Linked DNA regions of Saccharomyces cerevisiae S288C. The gene in region 4 interacts genetically with the main gene of each other region. Each region holds a gene or a part of one and is shown on either strand. Other genes may lie near its edges.

Region 1 (4,591 bases), on a different chromosome or scaffold from region 4:
TTTTCTGGTATTCTGGCTTGATTACTACAGAGTGAATACCAATATGATTACTCGATTCCACTTGTAATTTGCCCATGCTTTCGATAGTAATGTATTCATGAGGTATCTTAGTACCCATAATATGACCAATTAGTGTCTCCTTTTTAACTTCTTTGCCCTCGATCTCTCTGATGAAAAGACCTGAACATAGCTCTGGACAATTGATCAAACGAAAGCTGATAATTTCTTCTGAAGCTCTTTCGTTTGGTGGGAAACCTTGGCTTTCCAAGTTCAAAATCTGCTTTAAATCTTCAATGATTAAGGGTCTAATATACATATGAAGCGGTAGCGTGCTACTTGAGGAGGCCATTTTAACTTTTTATTTAATCGTAATGTATTGGTGTTATTTTTTCTCCGAGAAAAGTATTCTGATGTCCAATTCTTCTTAATCTAGTTTGTTGTAAATTTTTCTTACAAACACTTGCTCCCGCTTCTTGTCCAGTGGGATGTTCGTCGTTCTTCCATTGCTTTTCCATTTTTGCCCGTTCAAAACTATTCTTTTTATGAATTGACAGAAAACCAAAAGCAAGCCGATTTCAGGTTAACCCTTTATTAAAATAAAAAAAAAAAGCATGCATAACACTAATAATATATTATTAAAAAAAAAGCCAATCTATATTATTTAAATTATCCGAAATTACTTTTATTACATTATGACATTCTATAGTCTATGCAAGCGGATCAAAAAACCATTCCATCTTGGTGCCACAAAATACTCTCATGCCAAAAGTGCGAGCTTCGTTTCTTGTATCCACTTTGTCGCCTAACCTTATATGAATCCACTTTTTTAAAACTTTTGGTTGTAAAACAAACCAGTTTATGATGATGAAACTTGTCATTGCATATAAAACACCAACGAAAAGGTCAAATCTATAATGGTGGTCCAGATACATGGTAGCCCACCATTGTAGTATTATATATAGGATAGCCCAGAATTTTGGTATAAACCCATCGTTGACTATTTTAAAAATCCATTTGTTTGTGAAGTTCGTGTCTTCATCATATAAATGGACAAACTGGAGAGGTTTCTTATTGCCATTGCTGTTAATAATGCTGCCGTCGCCGCCGCCGGTGCTTCTTTCATTACTGGATACGGTGAATGAAGATGAAGGGGAGGAGGACCGCTCATTTGAAATATCTACAGGCTCAACGGTACCCAATGGTTCCATCTCTAAGTCGTTAGGGCCAATCGTGGGCGGTATGCTATTGTCACCTTCATCTTCGCTGTCTTCCTCACTCAACTTGAAAGTGGAAGAATCATTATTGTGCATTGTGAAACCTCCAGCATTGGAAAATCTGTGTTTTAAGCTGGTGGACCTTGAAACCAAAAACAAGAAACATTGAAATGCAATGGCGGAGTGTAGTGAAGGAACAGCACCAAACACAATAGGAGACATGTGAAATCCTTTAGTGTTCAAATGAGTACCCAAATGGCTATCTACTCTTATCAAACCGGCAGCAAACCCTTCCTGGGTGTAATTAACATGTTCGGTGTCATCAATACCGTACAGATGAGTAAACCATGGGGAGGCCATTGGAACAAGCAGATGGGTAAGGACCCCCGCTATATTTTGTAATCCTAGGGCAAAACTAAAGCATTTTAAAGTCCCCGGTGGTTGGAAGACGTATAAGTATACAGCTGTTAAAATTGGAGCTGTCAAGTGCAGGATGACATAGGAGAACCAAGCCAGTAAATCCTTGGTCTTAGTAAAGTTTGCATCCGACTGGTAAGCAAAGAAATGATCAATGTTGAGTATAACAAATGTAAACAGGGGCAAGGCAAACGGTATGAAAATTGTCCGAAATCTCTTTTGGATCGGCCGCTGCTTGCGCTTGCAGGGGTAATGAAAAATATTTGCGAACCACTCTAACAGATTATAGTTAACGTGCTTAATGTAATAGATGTAGTACCAAATGGCAAAGGGAATACATATCAGAAATACTAAGAGAAATGCAGAAGATGATATGAATGACCAGAAAAATAGCTTCGAAGTATTATCGGGCAATTGTACAGTAAGTTCATGCCAATAGTCCCCAAAGAGGAATTGATCAGCAAAAAAAGCAAACTTGCTATGAATGTCAGGTCTGAGCCTTATGGGTATCAGACCAGCGCGCTTGAATATAGACAGCCAAATAAACACTGGCGCAAAATTAAGCATGAAGTTGAACGGCAGGCTTATTAGATTACGTTGGTTCAAACTTGCATTATACATGTTTTTGACGAAACTCGCCAAAGAAAATATGACATTCATGCTTTCTTAGACGTTGAAAGACTTTAGGTGATTCTTAGCAGAAATGATAACGTCCAACCGGTGAAATAAAGGAACAGTTAGGGTGGCAATGAAAAAGTAGCGATGCTTATGAAAACACTATGCCTTAGGTTTCCTTTTTTTATTTTTATTTGACAAGTAGCGATTACTCTTCTATTGTTCCTGGTTTTTGATGCTCGAATGTATTATATAAAAATGTTGTGGCCGGAGGTCTGCATTTCTAGGCATTTTTCCTTTTTCTTATTTTTTTTACTTTCCTACTAACTTTGCACTTCGTAAGAGAATTTACACCAGAACTCTCGATTGAGGCGAAGAAGGCGGAGAAAAAAGCCGGTAAAAAAAAAAAGCGGAATCAATCAGCACAATCAGAGGCGTCAAGAAGCGGCGCGGGGATAATGCTTTTTTCCCGTGGCGTTCACATTTTTGTTCCGCGGAAAGCACGTGAGCGTAATCCACTCGGGAAGGGCGCAGCTGCCGTGGCCAACTGAAGTAATCTTTAGCCGTTTATCGCCGCGCAAAACGGCAATTGCACTTGAGACCCCAACGGCGCTGTGCAGCAGGGTATTCTACTACGTGTTAGCTTGCCTTGCATTTCCCCATGCGTCTCGAATAGGAATTATTCAAGATGGATTATTGGCATTTACGAGTAACCAAGGATAACCCCGCTGTGCGGTGAAACCACCCTCTTTTCACGTTTCTTCAAGGCCAGTGCAAACGCGAATAAACATATCTACGCTATATATAGATATGACGTTTCTCAAGCCAACAGAAGTAGATAAAGCAGCCAGGAGGGTAGAGAGTGTTCAAATTATAGCAAGCCTTCTTCTACCTGTTTTTTTTTGATGATTGTTTTGCCGGGTAACAATCGACTTTCGGGCAAATTTTTTTTCCTTTTTTCTCCTAACAGTATATACGGAGTGGAGAACAGACTTCCCATAAAAGCATATTACGTGGGGTCGTAGTAAGATTGCCGTTTATGATACCCTCTATTCAGGGCTCAGAGCGCATCACGATCGGGAGTGTAAATTCAATGTGCATATAAGCAAAACACACAGATTTCCTTTTTTCCCAGAAAAATGAGCAGTGAAATTGCCTACTCGAATACGAACACCAACACTGAAAACGAGAACCGCAATACTGGCGCTGGCGTAGATGTAAATACAAATGCAAATGCAAATGCAAATGCAACTGCAAATGCAACTGCAAATGCAACTGCAAATGCAACTGCAGAGCTGAACCTCCCCACGGTCGATGAGCAAAGACAGTATAAGGTACAACTGCTATTGCATATCAACAGCATATTACTTGCTAGAGTTATTCAGATGAATAATAGTTTACAAAACAATCTACAGAACAATATAAATAATAGCAATAACAATAACATCATCAGGATACAGCAACTTATATCTCAGTTCCTTAAAAGGGTTCATGCCAATCTTCAATGCATATCTCAGATAAACCAAGGAGTGCCCTCAGCGAAACCACTGATCCTCACGCCTCCTCAGCTAGCCAACCAGCAGCAACCTCCACAGGATATTCTTTCTAAACTCTATCTTCTCTTGGCAAGAGTGTTCGAGATATGGTAGAATAACTTTGTTTCTCTTCCCTTTTTTATTTTGTTTTTTTTTTTTTACTTTTGCAATTTTAATTTTGCATTCAGCTACAGGTGTGATTGCATACCCGCAGAGCAAGTACAGGAAGCATAAGAAAAATAGAATACGAAAAGCAGAAAAAGAAAGGCAAATAACAATCACTCAAGTACTACAACTGCATGAATTTATCGTATGTAATGTACCCAACGTAAATAATAATATTAGTATTTTAAAATCTATGACATCAGATGTAGTTATCTTACTGCCAGCCCTATTAATACTACTTTCTTATTATCTTCTTCGAGAGCCACCTTCGTCATCGTCGCAGTAAGCATTGTCATCTTCATCATGCACGTCGGTAACGGAAGCCTAATCTCAATATCTACTAGTTTACTCTACGCCATTTGGAGCGTAGCCCCTTCTCCTTTTGACTCTCTGACTTTTCCCTCCCCTCCTTCTCTTCTGGCCTAGCCTAACCTAGTCTAGCCTCGCTGGACCCCCTCCTTCCAACGGTCAACCCCTTCCTTTCTATTCTCTTCTCGTTCTCTACGTAAGGAACTTGTAAAAGAAAAAATTTGGTGCCATACAGGGAAATCGGCAGTGAGACGGAGCGGCCGAGGGTCTGATTATAGGGGTTAGTTACGCTCCTACTATGACGATCAAGGAGAGACAATCTCGATTCTCATTTTC
Region 2 (4,424 bases), on a different chromosome or scaffold from region 4:
TCCACCAGAGCAAGAGTAAAGGAAATGAGTATCCAATTGTGTACATTTCGTTCGAAACAGTGAATAAACCATCGTACTGTACTCAATTTATTGACGCTACGCAGATGGATTTTGTACATTTAGTGAAACAAATTATATCATATCTACCGGCTGCTACTGCCACACAGGCAAAAAAGCACATGGTCATTATCGATTCATTGAACTATATTTCTACAGAATACATAACAAGGTTTTTGTCTGAGATCGCCTCTCCTCACTGCACGATGGTTGCGACTTATCATAAAGACATCAAAGATGAGAACCGTACGGTAATACCTGATTGGAATAACAATTATCCTGATAAGTTGACTTTACTGCAGTTTATGGCCACTACAATAGTAGATATTGATGTGGTATTAACAGGCACTCTCGATACTGAGGAGGTGAGTGAATTGTTAAACGAATTTAGAATTCCTCGCGGGTTAAATAACGATATATTTCAATTACGACTTGTTAATAAAAGAAAGTCCGGCAGGTCATTGGAATACGACTTCATAGTAAATTCAAACACCCACGAATATGAATTATTATCAACCACTAAGCAAGAAGAGGAGAGCAGTAGTAACGGACTGGAGACACCCGAAATGTTGCAAGGATTAACAACATTCAACCTAGGAACATCCAACAAACAGAAGCTGGCCAAAGATCAAGTCGCATTGCCTTTTCTGGAGGCACAAAGCTTTGGACAAGGGGGTGCTATTGTTTATGAGTACGAAAAGGATGACGATTATGATGAAGAGGATCCATATGAGGATCCCTTTTAAAAAGTAGAAACTGATGGTAAATAGTGAGTGCTTCCAGATTATGTAAACTACGTATACTTCATACACATATCTAGATGCTAGATTGTTAGTCTGTTTTAGTCTTTTTTTTCCCTAGGAACTTTTCCTTTAGCTTTAGCAATTTGTATTTTAAGCCAGATTGCAACGTAATCTTATCGGCCTCTTCGACGGTGACCATTCTCTTCACCATCAAATTGTATAGCATACCGAATATGAGTCCCATGATTGTAGATGTTAGAATGATGACGTTATACGGCATACTAAAATCCGGTGTAGACAGGGATAACAATAGGGTAGAGGTTCTCATTTCATAAAGAGACGATGAGGACTCCAAAGATAGCACGGTGATTACAGCTGCATCGATTTCAAAACCATGGTTTGCATCTGGTGGATACTCGGCAAATTGCAGAAGAGCTTTATCGAATTGATAAGTCATTACAATGTCCGTATTAGCTGGAATTAACATCGTGAACTCCAAGTGGCCAGGTCTTTTTCTATCGGCCGCTTGTAAATAGTATTTATCTAAGATGATATCGTTTTCTTGCAATTGCGGAGAGGTAGTAGAAGTAATTTGAAGAGAGGATAGGTAAACTCTCATGAACCATGGCAATGATTCGAAATAAATCAACTTCACAGGGGTATCATTGTCGTTATGGAAAACAATACGCATTCCACCACGATCTTGTCCATTACCAGTCAGAGATCTGCTTACGTGAATTGGGACAGGAACTATGGGAGTAACTTTAGTAGTGTCCGTCGATTCTAAAATAAAGTCGTAGCCCGAACCACCCTCATTTTGATCGTTTGATAAGTCAAAGCAATTATCATGTGTGCTGAAAATAGTATCGTCAACTGACAAAAACGCAGTCCAGGTAGAACGGTCAACTTCTGCACAAATTCTTGTGGGCCTATTAGCAAACAGGTTGCCATTGTTTATTGGTCTGGCAAACAGCTGAGACAGCTTGAAGTGAGTCTGCGAAGGTTCCGGTAGAGGGAAGCATTGGTAAGAATCAAAGGGTTTATCCGTGTCACAACGCAATGTGTTCCCATCCAAAGGTTTGGGGATAGGTCTCTCACCTCTTGCCAAGGCGGAGGGAACGTGTGTTACCATTTCTATGCGTGCGTCCATCTCGTAGTGACAAAGAGCATCTTCATCTTCAGAACAAATAGTGGCAATATCCAAGGAAATACTATTCCATAGAGAGTCGAACAATTTATGACCATCCAAGAGAGATGTCAAACCGGATTTGCCCCTAGTAGGCAATAGTTTTATGAACGGCGTCAAGTTCTCGGTACAGATGGGTTCATTGGGCAACGATGCTCGCATCAGGTACAGTTTCTCGGTGCTATTGAAAAGAGGAGCTCCTATATCAGAAGCATATGACCGCCGGGGAAAGGTCGTCCTTGACTCGTCGATAAAATTTAAAGAAGAACAAAACAATCCGCTCAATGAATTGGACAGTTTTTTCCAATTATGGAACGCCTGTTCCTGATCCATGGCCTGCACTTGCGACCACAATTCCACACCTGAGGCACCTGCCTCTTTTCCAGCATGTGGCAACTGTCCCCACGACAGGGCATCCCAGAATCCTCTGGTAAATCTTAAATGAAACTGACGCGTGGCAGTAGATTCCAACAATGGTGGGATGGCCCGTGGGAAAGTCGTGTAGTGCTCATACGCATCATATGACATGGATGATACGGCCGGGTCAAACGGTTCCGATTGCAGTTGGAATGCAAATGAGAGTAGCAGATCATTGTTGGGCAGCGGCTTCAACACCAGTGCTTCGTCGTACGGATACCATAAACTGTCATTTATACCAATCTGCGACACCGTGTCTTCTGCGAACACACCCAGTAGTAGAGTGCCCAGCATGAAATAGGCCAGTGTGAGGATCATCGTCGTCTTGCCTATGCTTTGTTTGCTTTGAACACTTGTTTCCGCTCTCCTTTTACTTATTGGCTACTAAAACTACGTGTAAAAGATCGCCCAGCGCAAAAAGGTCCGGCGGTTTCAAATAATCTCGAACTATTCCTATAATATGCAAAATAGTAGGTAGGAACAAGTCGACTCTAGGCAGATAAGGAAGATGTCCGGTAAATGGAGACTAGTGCTGACCGGGATAGGCAATCCAGAGCCTCAGTACGCTGGTACCCGTCACAATGTAGGGCTATATATGCTGGAGCTGCTACGAAAGCGGCTTGGTCTGCAGGGGAGAACTTATTCCCCTGTGCCTAATACGGGCGGCAAAGTGCATTATATAGAAGACGAACATTGTACGATACTAAGATCGGATGGCCAGTACATGAATCTAAGTGGAGAACAGGTGTGCAAGGTCTGGGCCCGGTACGCCAAGTACCAAGCCCGACACGTAGTTATTCATGACGAGTTAAGTGTGGCGTGTGGAAAAGTGCAGCTCAGAGCCCCCAGCACCAGTATTAGAGGTCATAATGGGCTGCGAAGCCTGCTAAAATGCAGTGGAGGCCGTGTACCCTTTGCCAAATTGGCTATTGGAATCGGCAGAGAACCTGGGTCCCGTTCTAGAGACCCTGCGAGCGTGTCCCGGTGGGTTCTGGGAGCTCTAACTCCGCAGGAACTACAAACCTTGCTTACACAGAGTGAACCTGCTGCCTGGCGTGCTCTGACTCAGTACATTTCATAGCCCATCTTCAACAACAATACCGACTTACCATCCTATTTGCTTTGCCCTTTTTCTTTTCCACTGCACTTTGCATCGGAAGGCGTTATCGGTTTTGGGTTTAGTGCCTAAACGAGCAGCGAGAACACGACCACGGGCTATATAAATGGAAAGTTAGGACAGGGGCAAAGAATAAGAGCACAGAAGAAGAGAAAAGACGAAGAGCAGAAGCGGAAAACGTATACACGTCACATATCACACACACACAATGGGAAAGCTATTACAATTGGCATTGCATCCGGTCGAGATGAAGGCAGCTTTGAAGCTGAAGTTTTGCAGAACACCGCTATTCTCCATCTATGATCAGTCCACGTCTCCATATCTCTTGCACTGTTTCGAACTGTTGAACTTGACCTCCAGATCGTTTGCTGCTGTGATCAGAGAGCTGCATCCAGAATTGAGAAACTGTGTTACTCTCTTTTATTTGATTTTAAGGGCTTTGGATACCATCGAAGACGATATGTCCATCGAACACGATTTGAAAATTGACTTGTTGCGTCACTTCCACGAGAAATTGTTGTTAACTAAATGGAGTTTCGACGGAAATGCCCCCGATGTGAAGGACAGAGCCGTTTTGACAGATTTCGAATCGATTCTTATTGAATTCCACAAATTGAAACCAGAATATCAAGAAGTCATCAAGGAGATCACCGAGAAAATGGGTAATGGTATGGCCGACTACATCTTAGATGAAAATTACAACTTGAATGGGTTGCAAACCGTCCACGACTACGACGTGTACTGTCACTACGTAGCTGGTTTGGTCGGTGATGGTTTGACCCGTTTGATTGTCATTGCCAAGTTTGCCAACGAATCTTTGTATTCTAATGAGCAATTGTATGAAAGCATGGGTCTTTTCCTACAAAAAACCAACATCATCAGAGATTACAATGAAGATTTGGTC
Region 3 (4,009 bases), on a different chromosome or scaffold from region 4:
ATAATAACCTATCATTTGGTTCTCTTAGCGATACCCATCATTTATCGGACTCTACCATATCAAAGGAAATAGATAGTATCTTTTTACAAATCATTCAAGAGGACTTATATGATTACTTGAGTACAGTAAACTCCATCGTACCCATATCTTACAGGTCGTATTGTGAACAAAGCAATTTCATTAGAGATAGTGGCCGTTTCAAGAAGAGAATAATAACAGAGGACTCTATTATTGGAGAGCTAGAACAACCAATGAACTTCATTGAAGAGTTACTTGATATCCATGTTCCTGTGTGTAACGCGTTCTGGTCCCAATACTTAGATAATGATGCTGGGCCGATAATTAGAATTTTGTTCAAGATAATGCAATGTCAGTCATCTTCCTCCATTAGGGGAGAGTACTCATTTTTAAATGACTTCATTCCCAGAGTACATCCCGATTTAACTCAAGAGATTATTAAAATTAAATTATTCAATGATCAATTCGTGGCAAGTAAAGTGGATTACGACTTGGACACTTTACAAACTGCAAGTCAGTATCTTCCATAGGACATACAAAGGAACAAAGTCTGTTTGTTTTAAATTTTAGCTGCTATATAATTTTATTTTATAATTGTAATGTATCACTACTCCTCACTGTAAGCGTGCAATTCTTTGGGCAGCTAAGGAAATGATTAATCAAAATGGGAAAAACACCAAGCCAATAATCTATCATTTCTATAATAATGATTTCATTTATCGTACATATTTAATATAAAGAAAATGTTAACATTTAATTTTTTTCTTTTTCATTCGCTGTCAAAAATTCTCGCTTCCTATTTAAGCTTTCCTGGAAGAGACCTTGGTGTTAGAGGTCTTGACACCAGTAGAAGAACCGGATGCAACGGAGCCGGAAACTTCAGATTCCTTCTTGACTGTCTTTTTACCACCTTTCTTGTAAGATTGGATGTAGAAGGAAATAAACAAAAGCAAATAAGATGTTAGAATCAAATACCCATAAGCAGCAGCAGCCTGAGTACCATAACAAGTACCCTTGTTTGGTAAAATACCGTCCAAGTATTTGTGAGCATAGAATGTATAGGTAGCAAAGTAAACAAATACCAAGTCAATCAAAAATTGAATAATTTGGAATCTAGTGACCCATTGCTTCCACCAAACTCTAATACCACATGAACTCAAGAAGTAGTACCAGTACATGATAACGTGAACACCCAAGTTTAGTAGGATAACTACCCATTCAACAGAAGTACGACCAATTAATTGAGTGTAGCACAACAAAGCGGTGGCACCGTGATGGTAAGTGTGCAAAAACAATAACTTCTTTCTTCTCAAAACTAAAAACACAGTGTCAATCAATTCTACGAATTTGGTCAAATAGTTCAAATAGTAAAGAGTAACTAATTTTGGTGCGAAGGCTTCCTTAGAGCAGATAGACCAGAATAGACCGTTGTGATAAACCATAGGAACCAACTGTTCTAACATCAGCAACCATAAAACTAGAGAAATAGAAGTCAAAAACAAGTTGTGTATCTCGAAAAGCAATTTAAACTTTAATGGAGAGGCGTTCAAGGCGCGTAAGATAGCTTGGCCACCAAAGATAATAATGTAATAAACGATAATAATACTAACAGCATGATACCCGTTAGCCAAGAAAGTCTTATTGTGAATAAACTCGAATTGCTCAGCTGGATAGCCACTAAAGTATTCAAACACTTTGGAGAAAATTGGCCATAATTCAATACCGAATGGGTTCTCAATGGAAGGAACATGAACCTTCAAGAAACATGAAGAAGAAGAGTTCAAAGACTGGAACTGGTCGGCAACTGCTGCTATAACAGTAGATGTGGTAGTGTTCATGACTGTTTATGTTTCGTAAACAAACGGAAAAAAGCCGAATAAATAAACTAGAAGTAAGCTTGAAGCGAGTGAAGAGCTGTCAAAAACCAATCAATGACCAAATAAAAAGACACCAGATATGCGGAAAATACACAGTACCTAACTGGGGTAATAAGTTAAATAAAACTTCAAACAAGGCTAAACAACAAACAGAAGACTCCAGATAAATATTTTATACAATTATTTACTAAGAACCTGTGAAAAAAAAAAAAGACAAGCCAAATGCGTAAGCCAACCTTTTGTTTATTCACAGTCTGGAAAATTTTCTGAAAATTTTTCACTTTGTGGACGGAATAAAAACTTCGAAGCTTTGGGAAGAAAAATTTCGCGTTTTTTTTTCTCGCGTCATCAATCATTTGCATACAAATCCCTCTGACGGTGAATTATCATTATTATATTATAAAATTATTATTTATGTCGTTTTCCACTATTGTCATCAATGTTTATTATTCATAATTCTGCTCCTTTTACAACTTTAGTTATGCTTTTTATTCTAAAGAAAATAAGGAAAGTCTATATACGTTGCTATCTTAACCCCAGAAATCTAACGACGCAACTGTATCATACCCGCGATAATCCTCGTAGCAGTACAGGATTTCTTGAGTACTTGTTTGTAGAAGTCGAATCTTATCAGCAAGGACGCAACGAATTAATTCGCCAGTTTCAATCTTTCTGATCTCAATGAAGTTGCTGTCGAATGCCAAGATGTACGGGTACCAAATTGCAAATTTTTGGGGCTCTCCCTCCCAATGAATAATATGCGATTCTTTCTTTCTCCAACCCTGATTATTGACAAAGAAGGCAAATTCTGTGTAACACAGCAAAAACATATTTCCCACACGATAGATTGCCATTGGTTTCAAAGTATCCCTTAGTGCAAACTCTAATGATGTATCGGCCGGATCTAACAAGGATTCATGAGCATTCTGTGAAATGCTAACGATCTGAAAACCCTTTTTACAGCCAATGCATAGGTTGGCCTTGAGAAATGAAATAGAGACAGGTTCAGAATCAAAAATAACCTCGGTGATTTTTTTCTTGAGACTTTTTTTGTTACCGCTACCACTACCATTTTTTTCGGCCAATAATGGATGTTCATGCTCGAAGTACTTAATTGAATGCGATGAACTGTGTGCAGTCACGATTAATCTCTTACCATTGCAATCTCCTTCTGCGAAGAAACTCACATGATTGATCAGTTCCTTGTGATGCTTTTTGAAGAAAGATGTCCCATTACCTTCTGCTTCGATTAATGACAGCGGACAACTGTATAATTTTTTATCAATTAAAAGTATGATTGATTTGAATTCTTCTAATACAGCAATTTGAGTGATATTATTTCTTTGTACTAGTTGGATTGGAGTTGAAAAAAAAGCAGAGCTTTTATGTCTATGATCTTTATTCTGCTGTCTTTTAATGTTGCTCATATACAATCCAGAGTTCGTTGCAATCAGAAGTTTTCTACCCCCATCACAGGAAGTAACACTGTTAATTTTGTTGGTGTAATCGAAGAACCTATCGCTCATTTTCGTTACATTGAACATCTCCGTTTTGCTTATAATAGCTGCTTGTCCTTGCTTTATTTTTTCCAAAAGCGTTTGCAATCCAGCGTATTGCGCAGCATATAATGTAACTTGATATCTCTGCTTGGCACCGTAGTATAAGAAAGTTATTGCGTTTTTAGGATTACTCGTGTTGTATTCTGGTTGAATTACAGTTCCTGAACAATCTGGGTGGTCTCCAATATATTTCCTCAACGCAGGCATATCTTCACCTGGACATGCAAATAACAATGGCAATGGAATGGGCCTTTGGAATACCTTATGCTGGTGCCATTTATTAACTGCTTTGGCCTTTAAAAATAAGAGCATATTATCTAGAAGATAAAATTGTATGTCACCAACAACTGTTCCGTCCGATTTTGACAACTCCTTCCGTGATAGTATACCTTCATGTTTAATTTTTCTCCTTTCGTCATTTAATCCTAAATTAACGTATTCGTTTTTGAAAAGAATCTTTTGTTTCAACAATTTTACATCATGTCTATCTTGTGCAGCACCACTTGCTTGATCAATCCTTTTCATAAAATCCCTTAATGCATCCATGGCTTTGCT
Region 4 (4,189 bases):
GTCTGCGTGTCAGGAGTGCTGCCGTTCTTTTCTGAAGATGCGCAGAGACCCATGATATTTGCTTGAAAATACGCGTGATTTGTGCTGTAACAATAAGGCTCGCTGTGATAGCAATTGCTCACTTTTATACCTATCGATTGCTCTTTGGGTAGTGAGAACCAAACCTACCTAAAGTTTTTCCACCCCTTCAGTCTAAGGCTGCACGCACGCGCCTATAAATCCTGCTGCTTATTAACTTTTTTTTTCGGTGCAGTATGCAAGAGGATAAGAAGAATCATTTGGGCGCAGCTGAGGGGGCTTGAACATGATGAAGTAAGGGAAGAAGAAATCGCGAACGAGGCAGTAGTCATGTTTTGTGACTGAATTGGCGGACTTCATTTTACTCCAGACATTTACTTAATGTGGAGCACGCCGGGCGCAGGGATCGTAATATATGGTATATCTTTAGTAATTATAAGTTTGATTCTGCCCCGGGTACCACGGGTTACCCGTTTCCTTAGCCTTTTGGATTTCGTCTTTTTTTTTTTCCTCCATTTTCACTTTTTCATTCAGTTACTAACTGGCCAAAAGAGACATTTTAGATATAAGAGGTATGAGAGAGTAGATATATGTGCGTGTGAGAAAAGGTAAGGGGCGCAAAGCATAAAACAGGTGGTATTATCGATCAACAGTATCATAAGAATGGCAGCTTCAGTTCCACCAGGAGGTCAGCGTATCTTGCAGAAGAGAAGACAGGCACAATCCATTAAGGAAAAGCAAGCAAAACAAACGCCCACTTCCACCAGACAGGCTGGTTACGGTGGGTCTTCAAGCTCAATTTTGAAGTTATATACGGACGAAGCCAATGGATTCAGAGTCGACTCCCTTGTCGTATTGTTCCTATCTGTCGGTTTCATCTTCTCCGTGATTGCTTTGCATCTATTGACGAAATTTACACACATTATATAATATCAGTAATTTTTTTACATATGCTAAAGAAAATCGATAATATCATTTCTCGCTCAAGAAAGTTTGCAGGTGGTGCTCCGCGTCCAGAACCTCTTGTTCGACTTCGATGAGGGCTCTGATTTCAGACCTGCCAAACAAGAAGGAGATGGCACCGTCGATGGTGCCCGAGATGGAGACAGCAATAGCGAAAAGGACCCAGAAGATGGAGGACCAGCCTGCCTTGTTTGCAGTAAACGTTGTCACGACCAACGACGCTATTAGGAGAAGTATTGAGGCCCAGAAATGTAGGCCACGGAAAAATTTCTGTCTTTGGGCTGTCTTCAAGTACGTGTGGATGCATTCTATCATGGTTTCGTAGTTGGAGTATCTCTGCAAGATCAGCTCTCTATCATGAGTCTTCGCACGCTTAACGGAGGTGGATGGACGGGACTCTGTGCCCTGTGGGACGATGTTAAGGGTGCATGAGTATGCAAAATGGTCAGAGACACTGCAGTCCAGGTGAGGGATCCGTTCAGTGAACCTGACACCTGCGTCTACTGTTTGCAAGAAATCAGGGTCGATAAGAGCATAATCCAACCTGCATGCCTCATCGGGTTGTCTTTGGGCCCTCCATGTGTTGAGCAGCGAATCGCACGTGGTACAGCCCTTAAGCAATTGTTGCAATGGAGACAGACGAGCGATCACCGCCAAGTCTTGCTTCCCATGCAATTGCTCCCAGGAGTCGACCAGGCCGGCCTCCTGCGTGAGAAATTTGTGGGGCAGTGAGCCCGGTCTGGAGTTTAAGTCACCCACCACAATCACCGCATAACCGGCCTGCCTGTAAAGCTTAATGAGCCTGCTGAAATCCCAGGCCTGACAAGATCTGTGGCACAAGTAGGCGGCATCACCCTGCTTGGCGTATGGGGCGTGCATGTGACTGTTCATTATTGCAATGGGGCGGGTTCCTGTGTTCAATACGGTGATTGCTATAGATTTCCCTACGTACCAGTCGCCACGGAACACCGCACTCGGTCTACCGTTTATCGGGAACCGGTAAAGAAAGGTCGACTCTATCGGGACCTTGGACAGTATGGCCAACCCAGGCCCCGTCAGAATACCAGAATGGAACAAACGCTGATACGGATACTTGGAGGCACACGCAGAAGCTAGATACTTCCAGTCTTCCACACACCAGATTTCTTGTAAGGCAATCACGTCGTAATCTTCGTTTTCATTACTATCTCCACCATTGGGCAACAACTCGTCAGATATTGGCGTAAGCATTGAGTGGCCCGCCAATTTATCAGCAATTGCTCTGAGTCTTTCTTTACGGTGTTTGGAGACGTATTTTAACCCCCATGTATTGAAGGTCAGAAACTTTATGGAATACGCTTTACTATTATCGGACATAATTGCGTTGGTCCCGTTCAGTGCTTCAAACTCAGATTGACCATCTTCCTTCCTCTCGTGAACATCTCTGTCTTTTCTGTTGTACATATATCTGCTTTTTTTCCCTTTTTACGCGGAAAGCGCAAATTTCCTCGAAGATTTAAGCCAAACCAAAATAAATCAAACCAAACCAAAACAAAACAAAAACAAAAACAAAAACAGGCTAAGCCGATTCAATTAAAACCGCTCATACGTATACAACACATACACACATACAAGAATGGCCAGCATAGACGCATTTTCGGACCTTGAGCGCCGGATGGACGGGTTCCAAAAGGACGTGGCCCAGGTACTGGCACGTCAGCAAAACCACGCGCGCCAACAGCTGCAACAGTTCCAAGCGGAAATGCGTCAATTACATAACCAACACCAACATCTCATAGATGAACTGCAACGGCTTGCCACCCAGCGCACCGCTCTGCAGCAACAAATACATGCGGCCCAACAAGCTACAAATACCACCAGAGAGCAGTGGAGAAGCTATCACGAGCGTGAATCTGAGTTATCTAGACGGCAGTCGACCTTAGCAGCCCAATCGCGCGAGCTGGACTCGCTGCTGCAACAGCGTGGTAAAGAGTGTGTCCAATTACGCGCACGTTGGGCTGCGCAGTCGGGTAACGATGCCGCAGAGGTCGCACTGTACGAACGGCTGTTGCAGCTTCGTGTACTACCCGGAGCCAGCGATGTGCATGACGTACGTTTCGTATTCGGCGATGATTCACGCTGCTGGATCGAAGTCGCGATGCACGGAGACCACGTGATCGGAAACTCTCACCCGGCGCTGGACCCCAAGAGTCGGGCAACACTTGAGCACGTGCTTACCGTCCAGGGCGACCTCGCGGCATTTTTAGTCGTGGCCCGCGATATGCTTCTGGCATCTTTATAACGCCTTTATACGCATCTGTTCAGTTTATTCTGGGCCTATGATTTAGATGAGGAATAAATTGGTTCTTACTGTCTATACATAACTTTTACAAGGACCCATTCTATATTAAAGGAGATTAACGCAGTCTTCAAATAAAGGCATCATCCACTTATTTTATAATATACTAAGTGATGATGATGTGGCAACGATATGCAAGGGGTGCGCCACGCTCATTGACATCACTCTCATTTGGTAAAGCTAGCCGCATATCAACAGTGAAGCCAGTGCTTCGCTCGCGCATGCCAGTTCACCAGCGTTTGCAGACGTTATCTGGTCTGGCAACCAGAAACACAATACACCGTTCTACCCAAATACGTTCCTTCCATATCTCATGGACAAGGTTAAATGAAAATAGGCCAAACAAAGAGGGTGAGGGCAAGAACAATGGTAATAAAGATAATAATAGCAATAAAGAAGATGGCAAAGACAAAAGAAATGAGTTTGGTTCATTATCAGAATACTTCAGATCTAAGGAATTTGCTAATACGATGTTTTTGACCATCGGATTCACAATTATATTTACTTTGCTCACACCTTCCAGTAACAACTCAGGAGACGACTCTAACCGCGTCTTGACTTTCCAGGATTTCAAAACAAAATACCTGGAGAAGGGTCTTGTGTCCAAGATTTACGTCGTTAATAAGTTTCTCGTAGAGGCCGAATTAGTCAATACAAAGCAAGTTGTATCGTTCACCATTGGTTCAGTAGATATTTTTGAGGAACAGATGGACCAGATCCAGGACCTCTTGAACATTCCTCCTCGGGATCGTATCCCCATCAAATACATTGAGAGATCTTCTCCCTTCACATTTTTGTTCCCCTTCCTGCCCACCATCATTCTGCTTGGTGGCCTTTACTTCATAACCAGAAAAATAAATAGTTCACCAC

What was found.
Region 1: mutations in ISC1 (region 4) and IPT1 together harm fitness more than expected from each alone (negative genetic interaction), as found in Saccharomyces cerevisiae (2 studies listed by BioGRID).
Region 2: mutations in ISC1 (region 4) and GPI16 together harm fitness less than expected from each alone (positive genetic interaction), as found in Saccharomyces cerevisiae (one large-scale study listed by BioGRID).
Region 3: of ISC1 (region 4) and ELO3, changing one suppresses a phenotype caused by changing the other (phenotypic suppression), as found in Saccharomyces cerevisiae (2 studies listed by BioGRID, with this or other methods).

What each region holds. Positions count from the first base shown.
Region 1 is NC_001136.10:589,054-593,644, forward strand, and holds IPT1 (inositolphosphotransferase), read right to left. Parts: upstream 2,292-4,591; coding exon 708-2,291; downstream 1-707. Other genes in the region: PAA1 (polyamine acetyltransferase), read right to left, coding at 1-349; SNF11 (Snf11p), read left to right, coding at 3,386-3,895. UniProt on the Saccharomyces cerevisiae protein: Catalyzes the addition of a phosphorylinositol group onto mannosyl phosphorylinositol ceramide (MIPC) to form mannosyl diphosphorylinositol ceramide (M(IP)2C), the major sphingolipid in membranes of S.cerevisiae.
Region 2 is NC_001140.6:481,117-485,540, forward strand, and holds GPI16 (GPI-anchor transamidase subunit GPI16), read right to left. Parts: upstream 2,722-4,424; coding exon 889-2,721; downstream 1-888. Other genes in the region: Elongator subunit IKI1, read left to right, coding at 1-803; PTH1 (aminoacyl-tRNA hydrolase), read left to right, coding at 2,912-3,484; ERG9 (bifunctional farnesyl-diphosphate farnesyltransferase/squalene synthase), read left to right, coding at 3,729-4,424. UniProt on the Saccharomyces cerevisiae protein: Component of the GPI transamidase complex. Involved in transfer of GPI to proteins.
Region 3 is NC_001144.5:865,201-869,209, reverse strand, and holds ELO3 (fatty acid elongase ELO3), read right to left. Parts: upstream 1,857-4,009; coding exon 819-1,856; downstream 1-818. Other genes in the region: VID22 (Vid22p), read left to right, coding at 1-548; Rho family guanine nucleotide exchange factor ROM2, read right to left, coding at 2,426-4,009.
Region 4 is NC_001137.3:191,032-195,220, reverse strand, and holds ISC1 (inositol phosphosphingolipid phospholipase), read right to left. Parts: upstream 2,425-4,189; coding exon 991-2,424; downstream 1-990. Other genes in the region: GPA2 (guanine nucleotide-binding protein subunit alpha), read right to left, coding at 1-53; Arf family guanine nucleotide exchange factor SBH2, read left to right, coding at 682-948; kinetochore-associated Ndc80 complex subunit SPC25, read left to right, coding at 2,597-3,262; AAA family ATPase AFG3, read left to right, coding at 3,433-4,189. UniProt on the Saccharomyces cerevisiae protein: Responsible for the hydrolysis of the phosphosphingolipids (IPS), inositol phosphorylceramide (IPC), mannosylinositol phosphorylceramide (MIPC), and mannosyldiinositol phosphorylceramide (M(IP)2C).